Linked DNA regions of Coturnix japonica. The protein of the gene in region 3 purifies or fractionates together with the protein of the main gene of each other region. This does not show direct contact. Links are inferred from orthologs where the notes say so. Each region holds a gene or a part of one and is shown on either strand. Other genes may lie near its edges.

The links. The genes of interacting proteins can lie anywhere in the genome.
Region 1: the proteins of MCRIP2 (region 3) and ATXN2 purify together in Homo sapiens (co-immunoprecipitation; 3 studies listed by BioGRID and IntAct, with this or other methods). This does not show direct contact. The link is inferred for Coturnix japonica from reciprocal best matches to the Homo sapiens genes MCRIP2 and ATXN2.
Region 2: the proteins of MCRIP2 (region 3) and DDX6 purify together in Homo sapiens (co-immunoprecipitation; 5 studies listed by BioGRID and IntAct, with this or other methods). This does not show direct contact. The link is inferred for Coturnix japonica from reciprocal best matches to the Homo sapiens genes MCRIP2 and DDX6.

Annotation. Positions count from the first base shown.
Region 1 is NC_029530.1:5,317,801-5,322,879, reverse strand, and holds part of ATXN2 (ataxin-2), read left to right. Parts: intron 1-1,112; coding exon 1,113-1,295; intron 1,296-2,874; coding exon 2,875-3,063; intron 3,064-3,783; coding exon 3,784-3,891; intron 3,892-4,710; coding exon 4,711-4,781; intron 4,782-5,079. UniProt on the Homo sapiens protein: Involved in EGFR trafficking, acting as negative regulator of endocytic EGFR internalization at the plasma membrane.
Region 2 is NC_029539.1:4,831,862-4,836,940, reverse strand, and holds part of DDX6 (probable ATP-dependent RNA helicase DDX6), read left to right. Parts: coding exon 1-18; intron 19-496; coding exon 497-643; intron 644-880; coding exon 881-975; intron 976-1,639; coding exon 1,640-1,762; intron 1,763-2,100; coding exon 2,101-2,229; intron 2,230-2,534; coding exon 2,535-2,651; intron 2,652-3,847; coding exon 3,848-3,911; intron 3,912-4,949; coding exon 4,950-5,051; intron 5,052-5,079.
Region 3 is NC_029529.1:11,893,692-11,899,510, reverse strand, and holds MCRIP2 (MAPK regulated corepressor interacting protein 2), read right to left. Parts: upstream 3,805-5,819; 5' UTR 3,726-3,804; coding exon 3,674-3,725; intron 3,567-3,673; coding exon 3,488-3,566; intron 2,043-3,487; coding exon 1,915-2,042; intron 1,835-1,914; coding exon 1,733-1,834; intron 1,266-1,732; coding exon 1,195-1,265; 3' UTR 1,110-1,194; downstream 1-1,109. Other genes in the region: WFIKKN1 (WAP, Kazal, immunoglobulin, Kunitz and NTR domain-containing protein 1), read right to left, coding at 5,781-5,819.

The DNA.
Region 1 (5,079 bases), on a different chromosome or scaffold from region 3:
GCTGGAGCCAGGTGAGAGAAGCGTGCTCATTCAATCAGTAGCATGTTCTACAGCCTGCCTGATAAATGCTCAGCATGAGCCATAACCAGATGTGGACAGTAGCAAACATGTCTGCACAGTGTTCTACTGCCAATTAAATTTATCAGTGTGAGATTTCTTTGATGTAGCAAGATACAAAGAATCTGTGTACAAATTCAGTTGTTTTTGAGCACTTGTGATTGACTTGTCAGGCATGCAGTGAACTGCTTACTGTAACATGAGAATTGCTGGGAAGTGTATTCTGTAAAATACTTGCCTGTATATAATTTGGATTCAAGTGTGCTTTAGATTCATGATTAAAATAGAAGCTAATGTTTAAAGTTTTATGTAATCAGAAGAGGTACTCGGTATTTTAGAGCCGTATATAAATGAAACCAGGAAATTGCTACCTGTACTTCTGATACTGATCTAAATGAAAAATGAACTGTAATCAGCCAGATTGTCTTCTGCTCATGCACCATTTTTCCTTTTAGGGTATCAACATTTGAGTGTGATCTTGTAAAGAAATTGTTATTAGGATGTAGAGACTGTATGGCTGCTTAGACTTGAGTATAACTTTTCTGTGGCAGCTGTATAAACTGTTCAGAATTACTGTATTTTCTTATGACTTCAGCTTCTGGTGTGTTAAACATGCATGACTGGAACCTTGGGATAACAATAACTTGTTTAGTTGTGATTTTGCTGACTTGTTAATGAATTGTGACCTGCTGCAGGCAATTCAGCCTCTGTGCAGAATGATCTGCTGGAATTCCCTAACAGTGCTGGTCAGCCAGTGTTGGCAGCTGCTCTGTAAATCAATGTTTGCCATCATTGACCACCTGACAAAAATTATGCAATTATTTTATATACATTAATGTGCTTTTACTTAGTAAGGTAATGAGGATGCTGTTAGTCTGGCTGAACCAATGACTTGACCTTTTTGGTCTCATAGATGCCTGGTTCTAGTCAATGGCAGTGTGATTGTATTATTGCATCTTAGATTAAATCCACTTTTATAAATAGTCAGTATACTTAAGTATGCTTTGTGATGGATGTTGAGTACTTATTGTGTGGGGTTGTCTTCTTTTTCTCAGGGCCTCCACGGATGTCTCCTAAGGCACAACGGCACCCTCGAGGTCACAGAGTCTCTACTGGTAGGGGTACAATTTCAAGTGGCTTAGAATTTGTATCTCATAATGCACCAGGGGAAGCATCTACTACTGCAGTGGCACGAGGCAGCCCTTCAGGTGGGACGTGGTCATCAGTTGTCAGTGGGGGTAGGTAAAGCTTGGCTTATTGCAGATGGCTTGCCAGGGGTACCTTAGAGTCTTAATGCTAAGCAGAGTACTGTGTTTTTAGACAATTCAGGCTCTGAATACACTGGTCTGCTAACTTAGCTTGCTTAGATGTAGCTGGAGAAGGGTGTTATCAGATAGTTTAGTGTAACAACTGGTCAGTTGGTTCTTAAAGCGTAATATTGTCTGAATTGCAGAGAGGACAGGTCAGTTGCTGTATGAAAGGAAGGAAAAATGTGGGGATTAGTTGTTGAAAGAAATAACCTGGCACATTATTGAAGGAGATGAGAAAAAGTTAGATACTTTTTGTCTGAATTTGGTCAGTGACTGTATAGCTGGATTGTTATGACTTACCAAGGAGCGAGGTGTTTGGGTAGAGGAAGGCTGGCATTACAAGGAAATGTGAAATGGTACTCAAGTGAAGTTGGATGTACTTTTTTTTCTTTAAAAAACGATGCAGATTTTAAGTGGTTGTTTTGTGTTTGTCGTAAGTACCGTAGTAGCAGATATAATCAATGTCTTTTCTGAATCAGCTAACGCTTTTTTTTTTTTTTTTTCCCTCCTTTTTTCATGTTTGATTTACATTTAAAGCTCAGTCTTGTGACATCAGCCCTGGTTTTGTAGTTGGGACTGTGTTCTGGTCAGTCGTCAGCAGCTGAGTGCTTTCTTGATTCCAGGTGCAAGTGAGCAACAGTTCAGAGTCTGATACTTTTTAGTGCTGTTAGAATTCTAGGGAAGGGCAATGGGAAGGCATTTTTTAGAAAGCATGTAACACATAGACAACCCCATAGACCTGGTTGCCTTGTGGAAAACTTTTAAACGCTTCTGTTCTGGCTTTCTCTCCAATTCATCTACCCTCCCTACTCCAACTTTATATATCTGTGACATGCAAGTAGAACTGTTAAAAGACTTACTTTTCTTTCTTCTTGCTCACTTGAAGTTTATGTATGAATGTATGACATAAAGGAACTATCTAGCCACTGTGGGATGAGCAGGAAGCGGGAGGTATAACCTTTTAAAGAGCACACAGCTTTCTTTGCTGCTTTAATGCAAGGACAAAAGTGGCCATCAAGTCTCTCAATGAGACATGCATGGGTTGTTTTTGTTTTTGTTTTTTTGCAGCTGGCAAACCTCAAAAGGATTGCATGCTGTAAAGGGAAAGGTGGTTGCGTTGTTTTTCTTTTTTCCTCCCAGCCTTTAAAAAAATGTTTTGTATTTGTTTGTATGGAGATAGAACCACCTTTTTCTTTTCTGTCTGAAACTTTGTTAATATGATCTCTCATACCACTGAGGGACCAGAGACCACATTATGGTTTCTTGGTGGATTTGCAGAGCAGTGATATATGTTAGGGGACAATCTGCAGGAAAATGGCACCATTTATCTGAAATGCTGCATTGTAAAGAGCTAGGAGATGTACCTGAAAGGTAAATAGGTTTTCAGTCACTAGATAATGTTCCATTGAATTTTTTAAAGCATGTTCTTAGTTGTTTTAAAATTAAGCAAACTGCTGAGCAAATGAGGAAACTTATCCTATAACTGTTTTTTCCTGTTTGTTTCTAGTTCCGAGATTATCCCCTAAAACACACAGGCCTAGGTCTCCAAGGCAGAGCAGCACTCCTGCAGGACCAGCTCTGCCTTCTCCTCAGCCTGGTACTATTCCCACTGAATCTGTTGCCATGCCTGTTCCAGCTGCCTCTCCGACACCTGCCAGCCCTGCATCCAACAGAGCAGTTACCCCTTCCAATGAAGGTGAGTAACTCTCGCTAGCTGGCAAATGCTTCTGCTGCCTCATTTCTGAAAATGAAAATCCCTTTGCATGACCAAAGCTGATATATGAAATGATGGGAAAAATTCTGACTGATGCATTTGATTTTTCTATGTACTGAGTTCCTTTTTTCCCTGTGATGACGACTTTGAAGTAAGGTTCAAACGGCTTTCTAGTTAGACTGTATACTTAATTTCCTCTGCCCTTTAGGAGCTATGAAGTATGGGTGTTTGACCTAATTTAGGACATTTTTCTTTTTTCAAATGGATGTTTTGCTGTTTTCTCATTTGAAGAAGCTCAGCTCACTGATTTCTTAGAATATTATAAGCGTGGTGAAAGAATAAACATTTCAAGAGCACAGTCATAAGGATCTAACTCTCAAATCTTTGTAAAATTACATAAGAAGAGCTTTTCTATGGGAAGTAATGTCCTTTCATTTTAAAGTTTATTCAGCCTAGCTAAGGATCTGCGTGTGAATTGGAGGAGTGTGGACTGGGATAGTTTCATTTGGCTTAATAAGCATAGGGTGGGCAAGGAAGAAAGGTAACTCTCCAAGCCCTAAAGAGAACAGAAAATACGTAACATAGAGATTTTCTTTTGTAAGCTAAATGTGGTTAAATCTCTCTTTTGTTCTTATCTTGTCATCTCTTTTTAATCAGTTTTAGTTGTGTATCAGAGAGTAACTTAGACAATTTCCTTTCTAGCTAAAGATACCAGGCTTCAGGACCAGAGGCAAAACTCTGCAGCTGGAAACAAGGAGAATATAAAGCCAAGTGAGAGTTCTCCTAGTTTTCCTAAACCTGAAAGCAAAGGTTGGTATCAAAAGCTTCTGTAAGTACTTGAGTAATGTATAATCCTGAGTACTAAACCTGCTATGTTGACTAGTTTAGTTAACATTTTAAGGAAGACTTTGAGGAGGCTATCTGTCTTGGATGTTATGTAGAGAAAATGAGGTCATGCAGTTCTAAAGTGACAGAGACCTACAGTTTTAAGTGTTGTTCTTCACTCATTTAATCTACTCGCAGTATAGAGATATTCATGTGGATGGTGTGGTTTTTGTTTTGTTTTTTTTTTTTCCTTTTTTCTTCCTTTCTCCTGGCCTGGATAGGGTTCTTAGAGCTGTGCACACAATACTTGTGGTCGTTGTGATCCACACCATTTTTTATAACCACGCTTCTTCCTATTAAGCCTTAATGTCGCCTTTTTCTCTGCAGCATTGCTTGTTATTGCATTTCTCATAAAAATCTTTTTACATTGTGGAACTTAATCAGCATTTCAGCTTTAACTGATACTTTTGAAATGTTGGCATGTTATGCTTTGAGGGTTTTATTGCACACTTCTTTGTGTTTGGCTGGGTTCTGCAGTCCTTATACCTCAGGGCTTCTGTCTTAGTGTGTGATGTATTAGAACTATAGATGTGTCACTTACATAATGCCGTGCTTTTACAGACTATTTCTGTGTCCTCATACATACAGTTCATGGGATGATACCAAATTGCAGATGAAGTGATGTAGTTGTATTTAATTTGTAGATATGCAAGCATTATCTTTTTGCAAATTTAGAAACATGGGGGTTATAGATGAAAACCTGAATTAGAGATGCTTGGACAATTCTGGTCTTGTGTTTGGCAGGTGTATCTCCAATTGTTTCAGAACATAGAAAACAGATTGATGATTTAAAGAAATTTAAGAATGACTTTAGGGTAAGTGTCTCTGTGTGCTTACTTAATGGTATCGTAGTTCTCATGTGTCCTGATTACTTTAATGAACTGAATACATTGCATATGTTAATGGGGAAACATTTCCTTGAAGCTTGTGCTCAGTGTGTGAAAATGTCCTTAAGAGCTCACAGTGAATGTTATGAAATTCATTGCTAAGTCTGCTTGTCTTATTGCCTAGTGAACAAGTGTGCATATCAGCTTAAATACTGTTCACTGAAAATGCTGCTCAAAACATGTGCGATAATTAGGTACAAAGAATCAACACATTTATGCCGTCTAT
Region 2 (5,079 bases), on a different chromosome or scaffold from region 3:
AGAAGGACAACATACAAGGTCAGTTGGGATGGGTCTGCCTTAGCTGCATCCAGGTGGTGGTATTATTGCTCACTGTCTAGACTTGAATCTAAAAGCTGTTTGATGAAATGCAGTGATGTAGGTTGTCTGCTCACACTTGTAAAGCAAGTACATGGGGAATGGTAGAGGGAAGGTGGAATTTTATAAGTTGCAAGTTTCCCTTCAGGAACTTGAATTGGAAGGTATCTTCCAGACTTTACTTTCTTGCCTCAGAAAGCAGATTAGGAGTAATAAACATGTGGTGGCTGGGAGAGCTGTGTGGAGCGAGTGTGAGGGAGCACATGTGGAATTTATCTTGTTTTGAGCAGCTTCTAGGACTTCTATAGATACCTATCAGGATATTTATAGTGGAACTGCAAAACTTTGAAATATGGCTTTGTGAAGCTTCTATGTTCTACAGGGAAGTATTTAAGACTGTGTGTTAATAGTAATTCATGCTGATACTTTTAACTTTCAGCAATGGTGATCGTTCCCACCCGTGAACTAGCCCTGCAGGTCAGTCAAATCTGTATCCAAGTCAGCAAACACATGGGAGGTGCCAAAGTGATGGCAACAACAGGAGGAACCAATTTACGAGATGACATAATGAGGCTTGATGATACAGGTTGGTGCACTTTGTTGCATTACAGTTACTGTTTATTTGGGGCTTTTATCCTGGGTGGGAGAATTTGTACTTTTCTCTTTTGCCTGTGCTACTGTTTGCTTGTTAGAAAATAGTTTGTAGTGTGTCCTTGTCACTGTATGTGGTTATTCTCTCAAATGCTTGGTATAAAACATGTCTCTGAATGCTGGAAACACTGCCTGAGTTGCCTTAACTTTTTTTGCTCTTCTCACTCCACAGTGCATGTGGTGATAGCTACCCCTGGAAGAATTCTCGATCTCATCAAGAAGGGAGTAGCAAAAGTTGAGCATGTCCAGATGATAGTATTGGATGAGGCAAGTAGCTCATGTTAAAACATTTTTCACTTGTTAAAGCAGTGATGTGTCTCAGCCAGCCACCTCATTATGCACATCAACAAGTAGTTTTGCTTGAGGATATCAAGGTTATAGCTAAATCATTTCTTGGTGGTTTGAGAAGGTATTTTGGCAGAAGTTTTCTGGGTGTGAATTTTCCTAGGTTGCTTTCCTAAAAAGGTTTTGACTTCTGTTTACTTTTTTGTTGCTGTGGAACGGATTAACAGTCACTTCTGAATGGAGGGAATGCATTTTGTTTAGTTTCGGTTTGTAACAAATGAGTAGTGCTTACCACAAGTTCATATAAACTGATTTATGAACATCTGAGAGATTACAGGCTTCTGAGTGAGAAGGTTGAGAAAATAATCCTATGACAGCTCTTGGCGTCTATTTATTTTTCTTTAATTTGATTCTGTTTTGAAAACAGTTTTGAAAACCAGGAAATGTAAACTTCCTTTAAGTGGTGAATCCTGGTTCCAGCAGCTAAATCAAATATCTTTTAGAGTGTAGTGATTGTTCCAAAGGGAGTGAAGCTGGGGAGGAGACTATTCCTGGTGGTGTTTTCTTTCTGCTGTGTTACACTACCAGAGGACTGGGAGCCTGTCCCATCTCTTTAATGTCGTATTTTGTACTTTTGTTGTTACAGGCAGATAAGTTGCTGTCTCAAGATTTTGTTCAAATAATGGAAGACATTATTCTCACGCTACCTAAAAACAGACAGATTTTGCTCTACTCAGCCACTTTCCCTCTGAGTGTACAGAAGTTCATGGTGAGTGCAGTTGGAATCTTGTACATATGATTGTGACACTGTACATAGGGTACACGAGTGAGTGGTGTTCTTTTATTTACACAGTCATGCTTTCTTGGTTTAATATATCAGCCTAAATATGGGATAGAAGGTAATTGCTTTTAGTGTGGTCTGATGCCTTGGATTTATAAGCAATCTTTCATAAACTTTCTTGAAATTTTACCTGCCCTTTCTCATGACAGATACAGAGTGTCTGGGTGGTGCATTCGTGCTTTGCAGTTTAAGTGTGCCAGAGGACAGGATGTCTTTATGCTGTTTTGCATGTAGATACGCCTGCTTTATTTTATTTTGTCTTTCAGAATTCCCATTTGCAGAAACCCTATGAGATTAATCTGATGGAGGAGCTGACCTTGAAGGGAGTTACCCAGTACTATGCCTATGTAACTGAGCGTCAGAAGGTTCACTGCCTCAATACGCTGTTTTCCAGGGTAAGCAATAGGGTTTAGAGCCTACAAAAGCAGTTTTTCACTTCAAAATAAAATAGTAAGATTTAGGATGACAGGTTTTTCCATGACAAAATGTACTAATGATGCTGTGAGCTAGAGTTAAAAATAATTCTTATTCTGCACTTTTGTGCTACAGAACCTTGAAGTTTTTTTCCCCTGTTGTTCAGAAATATATGTTATGAATTGTTTGTAGCACCTGTTCTCTCTTTTCGAAAGGGATTTAGATGCATGCCTTAGATTTGCTGTGAAAATTCCATGTTTACTGAACACTCTGATTATATTTCCAGCTCCAGATCAACCAGTCGATCATTTTCTGCAACTCCTCTCAACGGGTTGAATTGCTAGCCAAAAAGATCTCCCAGCTGGGCTATTCCTGCTTCTATATCCATGCTAAAATGAGGCAGGTAAGTACAAAGTTACAGCAGTTGCTATCTGGGTTCTTCAGGTTTATTTAAATTTATGTGTGCTGTAAAAATGTATTTTGCTTTAGTTCCACTTTGTGTCCAGACTTTTTTTCTGCTCTTTCCAAACTGATCAGTTGGTATTTAGGAATACAAACAGAGCAGTACTCAGCCAGTGTGAGCTCACAGCGTGACTTGGCAAGCAGCACATCTTGCTCCACGGCTGTAGGGGAATCTGAGAAGTCAGGGAGACAGCTTTGATCAAAGCTCTCAGTGAAAGTACCAACTATTACTGCATAGCAGTTTTGCACCCATGGCCTTGCTGTAAACATGAAAAATAGCAACATGGTTTTGGTGCACAGGGATTTATGTTACTTGTAGAGTAGCTCATGTACTCAAGCTTCACACTATAGCTTTCCTTGTTAGCTAGTGAACTTGGAGACACTGACAAGAGGTTGAAGTGATGTGTGGAAGGTGGTAGGACTTTGAAATATCTTACATTTTGTATGTAAACTAGAACAAATTAAAACGACAGCTTTAATGGACACCTGGCTGTTCATTGGACTGACAATACGAACCTTTGCTGGGCTATATATGGAGCAGTAATTTAAGCAGAAAAGGAGCTGATGTCAGTGTTGAGAACACAGCTGTGCAGATGGATTGCTTGAGACCTGGTTTTCATTTCTCTTATTTTTATCTTTCTGGCAAAAAAAAAATGGAGGCATCGTTATTTGAGTGGGACACTGCAACTTGTTCATTTCACTCTCTGAAAATGAAACTGCTTATTAATCTGCATAGTCCAGTGTGGCTTGTTAGTGAGAGAATAGTCTGCGCAGGCACTTGGCTCATACCATCACTGATTCAGTGGTGGAAAATGCTCTGCAGTGGAAAATGGAGTTACTTTGAGTTTTAAAGGAAGGATGTTTCCAGATTTTATGTCAATGCTCATGAATATATTTTTAGGATGTAAGGTATTAATATACAGCATTTGGCATGGAGCTAGGAGAGATGATAGTCAAAACACTGGGAATGAAAATAGACCTTGGGAACAAAAGAAGTTTTGGTATTAAGAGGCAGAACAAGGAGTTTAGACTCAGCTGATATTCATGAAGGGGCGAGCGTGGGATTTGTGGTTGTAAATTGAGCACTCAACTGAAAGTCATAACTGTTCTTTAATTAGTTTATTTATGTGTTTCCAGGAGCATCGCAACCGCGTGTTCCACGATTTCCGAAATGGCTTATGCCGCAATCTTGTTTGCACTGGTAAGAGCCCCTATGCATTTCTGAAGGTTGTGGTAGAGTAGCCATTAGCCCAGGTATAATTGATGAACTGCTTAGTGATAAAACTAATCTGTTTTAGTAAGAGAATTTTTGTCATACCTGTGTGTAGCGGGCTGCAGTGCTCCTGTATTGCAGAATGACCCGGGTTGGAAGGGACCTCAAGGATCATGAATCTCCAACTACCCTCCCCCGCCACAATCAGGGCCACTAACTTCCTCATTTAATACCAGCCCAGGCTGCCCAGGGCCACATCCAACCTGGCCTTGAACACCTCCAGGGTCGGGGCAGCCACAGCCCACATACCACTCTCAGAGTAAAGAACTTCTCCCTGACATCCAGCCTAAATCTGTAGGCATACAGGCTTTCTCTTTTTGGCAACCTGTGGTGGTGCAGCTTGCTAACAAATCCTTTCATTGTGATGATAATTTGTACTTCAGTTATGTTTTCTTTATGTTCTAACATTTGAGTGTCCTATAAATTGTTGGATATGAAATAGTAGAAGAACTGTAGGTAGAACTGTGGCTAGCATTATTGAATAATGATTTACTGATTCTTCATCACTTCCCAAATGCTTTGCAGTTCTGATTGGTCTGTATATGGCCTGAGTTGTATCTTGGCTGCATTACTAAAACTCACTTGAAATGAAACAGAGATAGTTCAGTTGATGGGACGTAGCTCACATTTCAAGTCTGTTGTAAAATGACAGTGTGTGCCTTATTTGATAAGATGCTTATATAAAGCTGACCGGCTCAAAAATAGTGCAAAAACTGGCTTCATGAGAATTATTTTTTTTACCTAGAACTGAAGATTTGATGTCTTGATCATTCGGTTTTTATTATGCTTAACATGGATAAAGAGCAGGAAGAGGCTGTAACAGAATTTATGTCAAATGTTTTGATACACAGAAAGGGCTTGTCTTTAGAAACTAGTGCTAACCAACATTCACAAAGGCTAAATTTCCCAGCCCAGCATTAGATTTCATGGAAGTTAATGTTCTTCATGACTTGTGTTGTCTTTCAGATCTGTTTACCCGAGGTATTGATATCCAAGCTGTGAATGTGGTGATAAACTTTGATTTTCCAAAGCTGGCAGAGACTTATCTCCATCGTATTGGCAGATCAGGTGAGAGGAAAAACATGTTTTAGGGACA
Region 3 (5,819 bases):
CAGCAGGGCTGCTGGGACCTTGCCTTGCACAAGGGCAGCAGTGGGAAAGCAGGAGCAGGGGGAGCTCTATGGGCTTAAGGGAGGTTCTGCCTTGGGTGCAGCACGTTGTACACTGACCCTGCATCCCGCAGTGGCAGCCCGGTGCCCTCCTCGCTGTAGCACCATCCTGCACTGGGGCACAGTCACCGTGTGGCATCGCTGTTGCCACCTGTTTTTGTCCCCATCCTGCCCCTCCTGCAGCACCATCTGAGAAGGGGCTGTGGCTGCTGTGCTGGGCTGCAGCACAGTTGTTGTTCCCACCACGAGAATAAAGCTTTCCTTTTTTTTCCAGCTGTTTTCTGGCCTCCTTCACATTCAGCGATCGGTTTCCTACCCTGCACGGCTCGGTCTGTTGAGGACCCGATAGGGCTCCAGCAGGAATCAGCCCAGGCAAAGCTGCACTGGGGCCCTTCGTGGGGCCGCCCCCTGCAGCGGCTGCGTCCTGCAGGAAGAGGCTGCGCTGCAGGGCTGCCCCCAGCCCCCTCCTCCCGCTGCTTTACCCCTATGGGGACCGCGGAGATAACGCGGGGCTGCAGGGACAGCACAGCCCTGCACGGCTCCCAGCCACGATGCTCAGCCCCCCCCGAACCACCAGCACCTCCAGCTCCACGTGGAGGCCGGCGGGCAGCCCTGGGGCTGTTGCATGGGGACGATCCGAACTTCTCCATCTCTGCACCCCTCCGCTGGGCCGCCAACGCTCCCCCGGGTCCAACCAGCCCCTCAACCACAGGCAGTTTCAGCGCTTTATTGTCTGTCCTGCTACAGTGACCCGTTGTCCTCCAGCATGGTGGGGGGGGGGGCTGCCCGCACACCCCGCAGTGTCCCGGAGCTGCAGCGGGCTCAGAACTGGCACTTAAGGAATCCCGGCCGGGGCCGCACGCGGCTCCTCCGCCCCGCACCGGGCATGGCTGTGCTCCGATCCCGCTGTCCTCGGGGCTGGAAGAGCTGTTTAAATACCACCGAGCGCCGCATCCGACCGGAGGCTCCTGGCTGCGTGGTTTGTCGGGGTCGGTTTTTAGGTGTTGGTGGTTTTTGTTGGTTTTTTTTTTGTTGTTGTTTTGTTTTGTCGTGGTTTTTAAAAAAAAAAAAAAAAAAAAAAGAGGGGAGGGGAAATGAAAAAGGGCCGCAGTGGGAGTGGGAACGGCCGCCTTCCCTTCAGGAGCAGTTCTCAATCTTGGCCAGAAATTGCTGCGCCCACCATTCCTCCAGGTCAATGGGAACAAAGTCTGAAAGAGACGGGATGTTGAGAAGGGATCGCAGCTGGAGCACGGAGCGTTCCCAGCAGCGCCGTCCATTTAGCACAGGGAAAAACACCCCCCTGAGCCCCAGGGCTCCCCAGCTCCCCAACGGCTGCGGGCATTTGCTCTGCTCGGTGACATTCTCACTTCCAGCTGCTGCCCAGCCCCTCACTCTGCCTTTACTTTGACCCCATCCCCGCTGTGTCTCCATCCTGTGTGATGAGAGCAGAACCCCACAGCAGAACCAGGGGGTGATGGCACGGCCCCACAGCCAGACCCCATTGCACAGCACTGGGCTCACCCACCCAAACCAGGAACACTGACACCCGATGTCCCCCACTCACAGCCCACGGGACCCCCCCGGTATGTCACCCCACCCCCAGCCGGGGGCGGCTCTGCCATGTGCTCCCCCAGATCCTGCTCCCCCTCCCTCCCCCTCCACGCTCCCCACTCACTTTTCAGCCGGGGGTTCGGGGTTTTCTCTACGTACTGCACAGGCCCACGGGTGCTCTCCCCTCTCTGCCCCCCGTCCAGCTGCTGCTCCACCTCCTGCCAGGCTGTGGATGGAGGGCTGGGGGTGAACCCCAGGGCAGGCGGCGCCCTGCAGCCCCCCCTCGTCCCCTCCAGCCTCTCCCACCTTCGTAGACGAAGCGGACGTTCTCCTCGTGGGCGGCCGTGTAACTCTCCTCGGGCACAGAATTGTGCGGCAGCAGCACCTGCGGCCGTTTGCCGTTCACTCTGTTGAAGATGAGCTTCTGGGCTGGGCTGGGGAAAGAGGGGATTGAGGGGAGAAGGGCAACCTGGGGGCACACGAGGAGCGGGGCAGCCCTACCACCCTGTGTGCACCACGCAGCTCCTGTGCCATCAGCCGGCACTGCCCCATCGCAGCCCCCAACTCCAGCAGAGGGGAAGGATGGACCAACAGACACAGCTGTCCCCCATCCTGCCCCCAAGGCGGCCACCACGCCTGGCAGAGCCCAAGCAAGGACACGTGCTTTCCAGGCTCCAGCTCTGCTCTGGATGGAGGCAGCAGGACAACAGCCCAAAAATAAGAAGGGAAATAAAGCAGATCAGGGTGCACAACGCACCGCCCGCCCCACGTGCCCTGCAGGCCGCCCAGCTGGGGACACAGCGGCTGTCACAGCTGCTACATGGGAACCCCGCAGCTGCTGCTGCTGCTCTGCACAACACGAGGGAAACTGAGGCACGGCGCTGTGACACGGGCCGGGTGCACGAGGAGCAACAGCAGCACAGCGCGGTGAAAGCAACGCGAGGGCAGAGCTGGAGGGCAGCCCTGCAGCGGGGGAGCAGCTCCGGGGCCGCCCCGTCCCACACAGCCCCCCCGGGAGAGCTGCTGCCCTAAAGGACAAGGTGAAACCGTCCGCATGGAACAGGACCCACGTGAAGGGTCAGCGCGTAGCCCCGGGAGGAACCCGGGAGTCCCAGCGCTCACGGGACAAAGTCTGAGAGGCCCCGGGAGCGCAGGGTGGGGGGTGCAGAGCAGCGGGGCCGGCAGTGCCCCCCCAGCCCACAACCCACCGCTGCCTTGAGCGGCTGTGCCAGGAGTGGGGCGGGGGGCGGCGGGGGGGAGACATTTCTCGGTTGTTCCCTGAAGGCAGAGAAAAGGGGTGAAGGCTGCTCCCTGAGCACGGACGTGCGGGACCGGGCACGGGGCTCATCGCCGCACGGGGACACGACCCCCCCCCGCCTCGGGGACCCCCAGACTTTCCCCCTTTTGACCCTCGGGCCGTGCGTGGGGGGTGGGGGGGACAGCACCGGGCAGAGGCTCCGGGCACAGCGCAGCCCCGGGGCGGCGATACGGGCTGACACGGGCAGAGCCCCGCGGTGCGGCCCCACCGCCGCCCCTGAACTTTTGCGGCGGTTGCACAACTCCGACGGGGGGGGCGGGGGGGGCGCGGCCCGCGGGGAGCGCACGGACACGGGGACACGAGGTTCCACGCACCCTCGGGGCCCTGCAGGGCGCACGGCTGCGCTGCGGGACCGCGGGGCTCCGCGCGGGGCCTGGACGGTGGGCGGTGAGGGGGGAGCACAGCAGCGGAGCGACCCCCGCAGCCCCCCCTCCCCCCCCCACGACCCCTCGGCGGACTCCAGGCGGGTGTTGCGGTTCCCGTCCCCGCCCCGGGGCCCTCCCCGGAGCCGCGCGGCCGCGGTCACCTTTCCCCAAGGTCACGGCGCGGCGCGGGGCTCACCTGGCGGGGGGCCACGCTCCGGGCTGCAGCCGGCCCCGCGGCTCGCCCACCTTGCTCTCCACCGGCTGCTGCGTGGGACCTGCGGGGGGGGGGGGAAGGACGGGCGTCAGGGCCGGGCGGAGCGGAGCTGGTGCCCGCGGTGCCAACGCTCCCCCCGACCCCCCGCCCGCCCCCCCCGCCCGGTACCGGTGCGGCGCTGCGTGGCCAACTTGCTGGGGCCGCGCGTCAGCGTGTACATCGTGCGGCCCCTCCGGCCCCGCACGGCACGGCCCCGCCGCTCCCGCCGGCCGAGTGCACCCAGCGCCCCGCGCCGGGCCTTTAACGGGCCGGGCCGGGCCCGCGGCACGCCCCCGGCCTTAAAGGGACCGCGCCTCAATCGTGGGGGAACGCGTGGAGGGGGAGAGACGCGAGTGGGATCATTAACGCGTGGGGCACGGCGGGGGGTGCGGGGCTGTGGGGGCTGCGGGGCGGCCCTGAGCCCAACGTGGGACGCGCTGCCACGTGGGGTGTGTGACCCCACGCGTGGTGACCTTCGGACCGGGCGGCGCGTGGAGACCCCGCACGTGGCGGTGACCCCCGGAGCCGGGAACGCGTCACCCACGTTCCGGGGCGGGACGAGCTTCCTCGTGCCGGGTCCCCGCGGCCGTCGCTGTTGGGGTGGCCGCGTCCCGGTTCCCCCCCGAAGCTGCAGCGATTCTCCCCGTCCGGCCGCATCACGGCGCGGTTTTATCGCACAGACACGATGCGCAGCGCAGGGACGGACCCACGGCGTGTCCGCACCGCGAGTGGACGGGGATGGTGGGGATAGTGGGGATAGTGGGGATAAGGCCGAGGGAGCGGGGAGAGCAGCAGCGGCGCCGCTGGTGTAGTGGTATCATGCAAGATTCCCATTCTTGCGACCCGGGTTCGATTCCCGGGCGGCGCACGGCGTTCTCTTAACTTTTTAAACTGGATTTTCTTTCTTCTATTTAATTTTTTTAAATTTCTTTTTGAACTCTTATTCTTTCTTCTTCCCCCCCCCCCTCTTTTTTTCTTTTTTCCCCACACAAATCGCTGCTTTTCGCCCCATTCTGAGCCCTGCTCACGGCAGCTCTCAATCCGAGGGGCAGCGCCCGGCCCTGGGGGGGCTGCGGTGACGCAGGGGGGGCTGAGGCCGGGCCCGTTGGCTGCAGCCCTCAGCGCTCCGTGCCCCCAGACAGCGGGGAGAGGTTTGACTCGGGCAGAGCGACGGGGCGGGGAGCGGCTTTAAAGGGAAGGAAAGGAGATTTGGGGGGGCTGCGAGGAGGAAATCTGTCACTCGGAGCCCCCGTCCTTGGAGGGGGGATCAATCACGGATGGGTTGAGCTGCCGGGGGGGGCAGTGAGCGCACGGCGTGGGAGCGGGCGGGCTCTGAGGGTCCCTTCCAACCCGAACCGCTCTGGGATTCCGGTTCTACAATCGCGGCCCTCCCTGCAAAGCGAGCAGCCGAACTCCCCGCTGTGTCCGCTTGGGGGCTTTTATTAGAAAAACAAAGAAAGCCCCGAAATTCCGCCCTCAGACGGCGGCACAGCGCTCTGCCGGCTGCAGAGACCGCCGAGGGCAAAGCGGGGGGTGCCCTTTATTGACAGCACACGTGCGAAGGTAATGCTGCCCCGTGGGATGCACCGTGCAGCCCTGCACCCAGCCCTGCATCCAGCCCTGCACCCAGCCCTGCACCCAGCCCTGCACCCAGCCCTGATCCCAGCCCTGATCCCAGCCCTGCTGCTGCATGATGTGCACGGGCCCAAGTGGCACCCAGACTCCCATTCCAGGCATTGCAGGGCTGAGCTGGAAGGGATCAGTTTCCATTGATGAAACAAAAATAAACACGAGCTCTTAAGTGGGGAGGAATTCCTCACCAAGAAATATCACCCGGTGCAGAAATAGCTGCCCGTGGTGAGGCACAGCCGTGTCCTTCCCACGTCCCTGTGCCAGGAGCCCCGTCATAACAGTTCTCCCAGTTCAGTGTGCAGGCAGAGGGCTCTCTCTGCATCCCCATATTCAGGGCTGAGGATCCTGAAGCTCTCTGGGTTAGGGCTGGGGGTGCCCTGTGTGACAGGGCAGGGGAGGGGGGGTCAGGGCAGACTTCTCTGTAACCCCACCCCGCCCTTTATTGCTGCTGTCTGGGTGGGGGTACACAGGGAACACGCGCAGCTGAAAGTCACAGGGATGGAGCTGCAGAATGGTGACAGTAACTCAATAAAAGCAACGGGCTGTGGGCTCAGACGGGTCCCCCCGGGGTTTGCAGCCCCGGTGTCTGTCTGTCAGCCCGGCTTTAATCCTGGAAGCGGTTGAGGAGGTCGCAGGTTTTCTT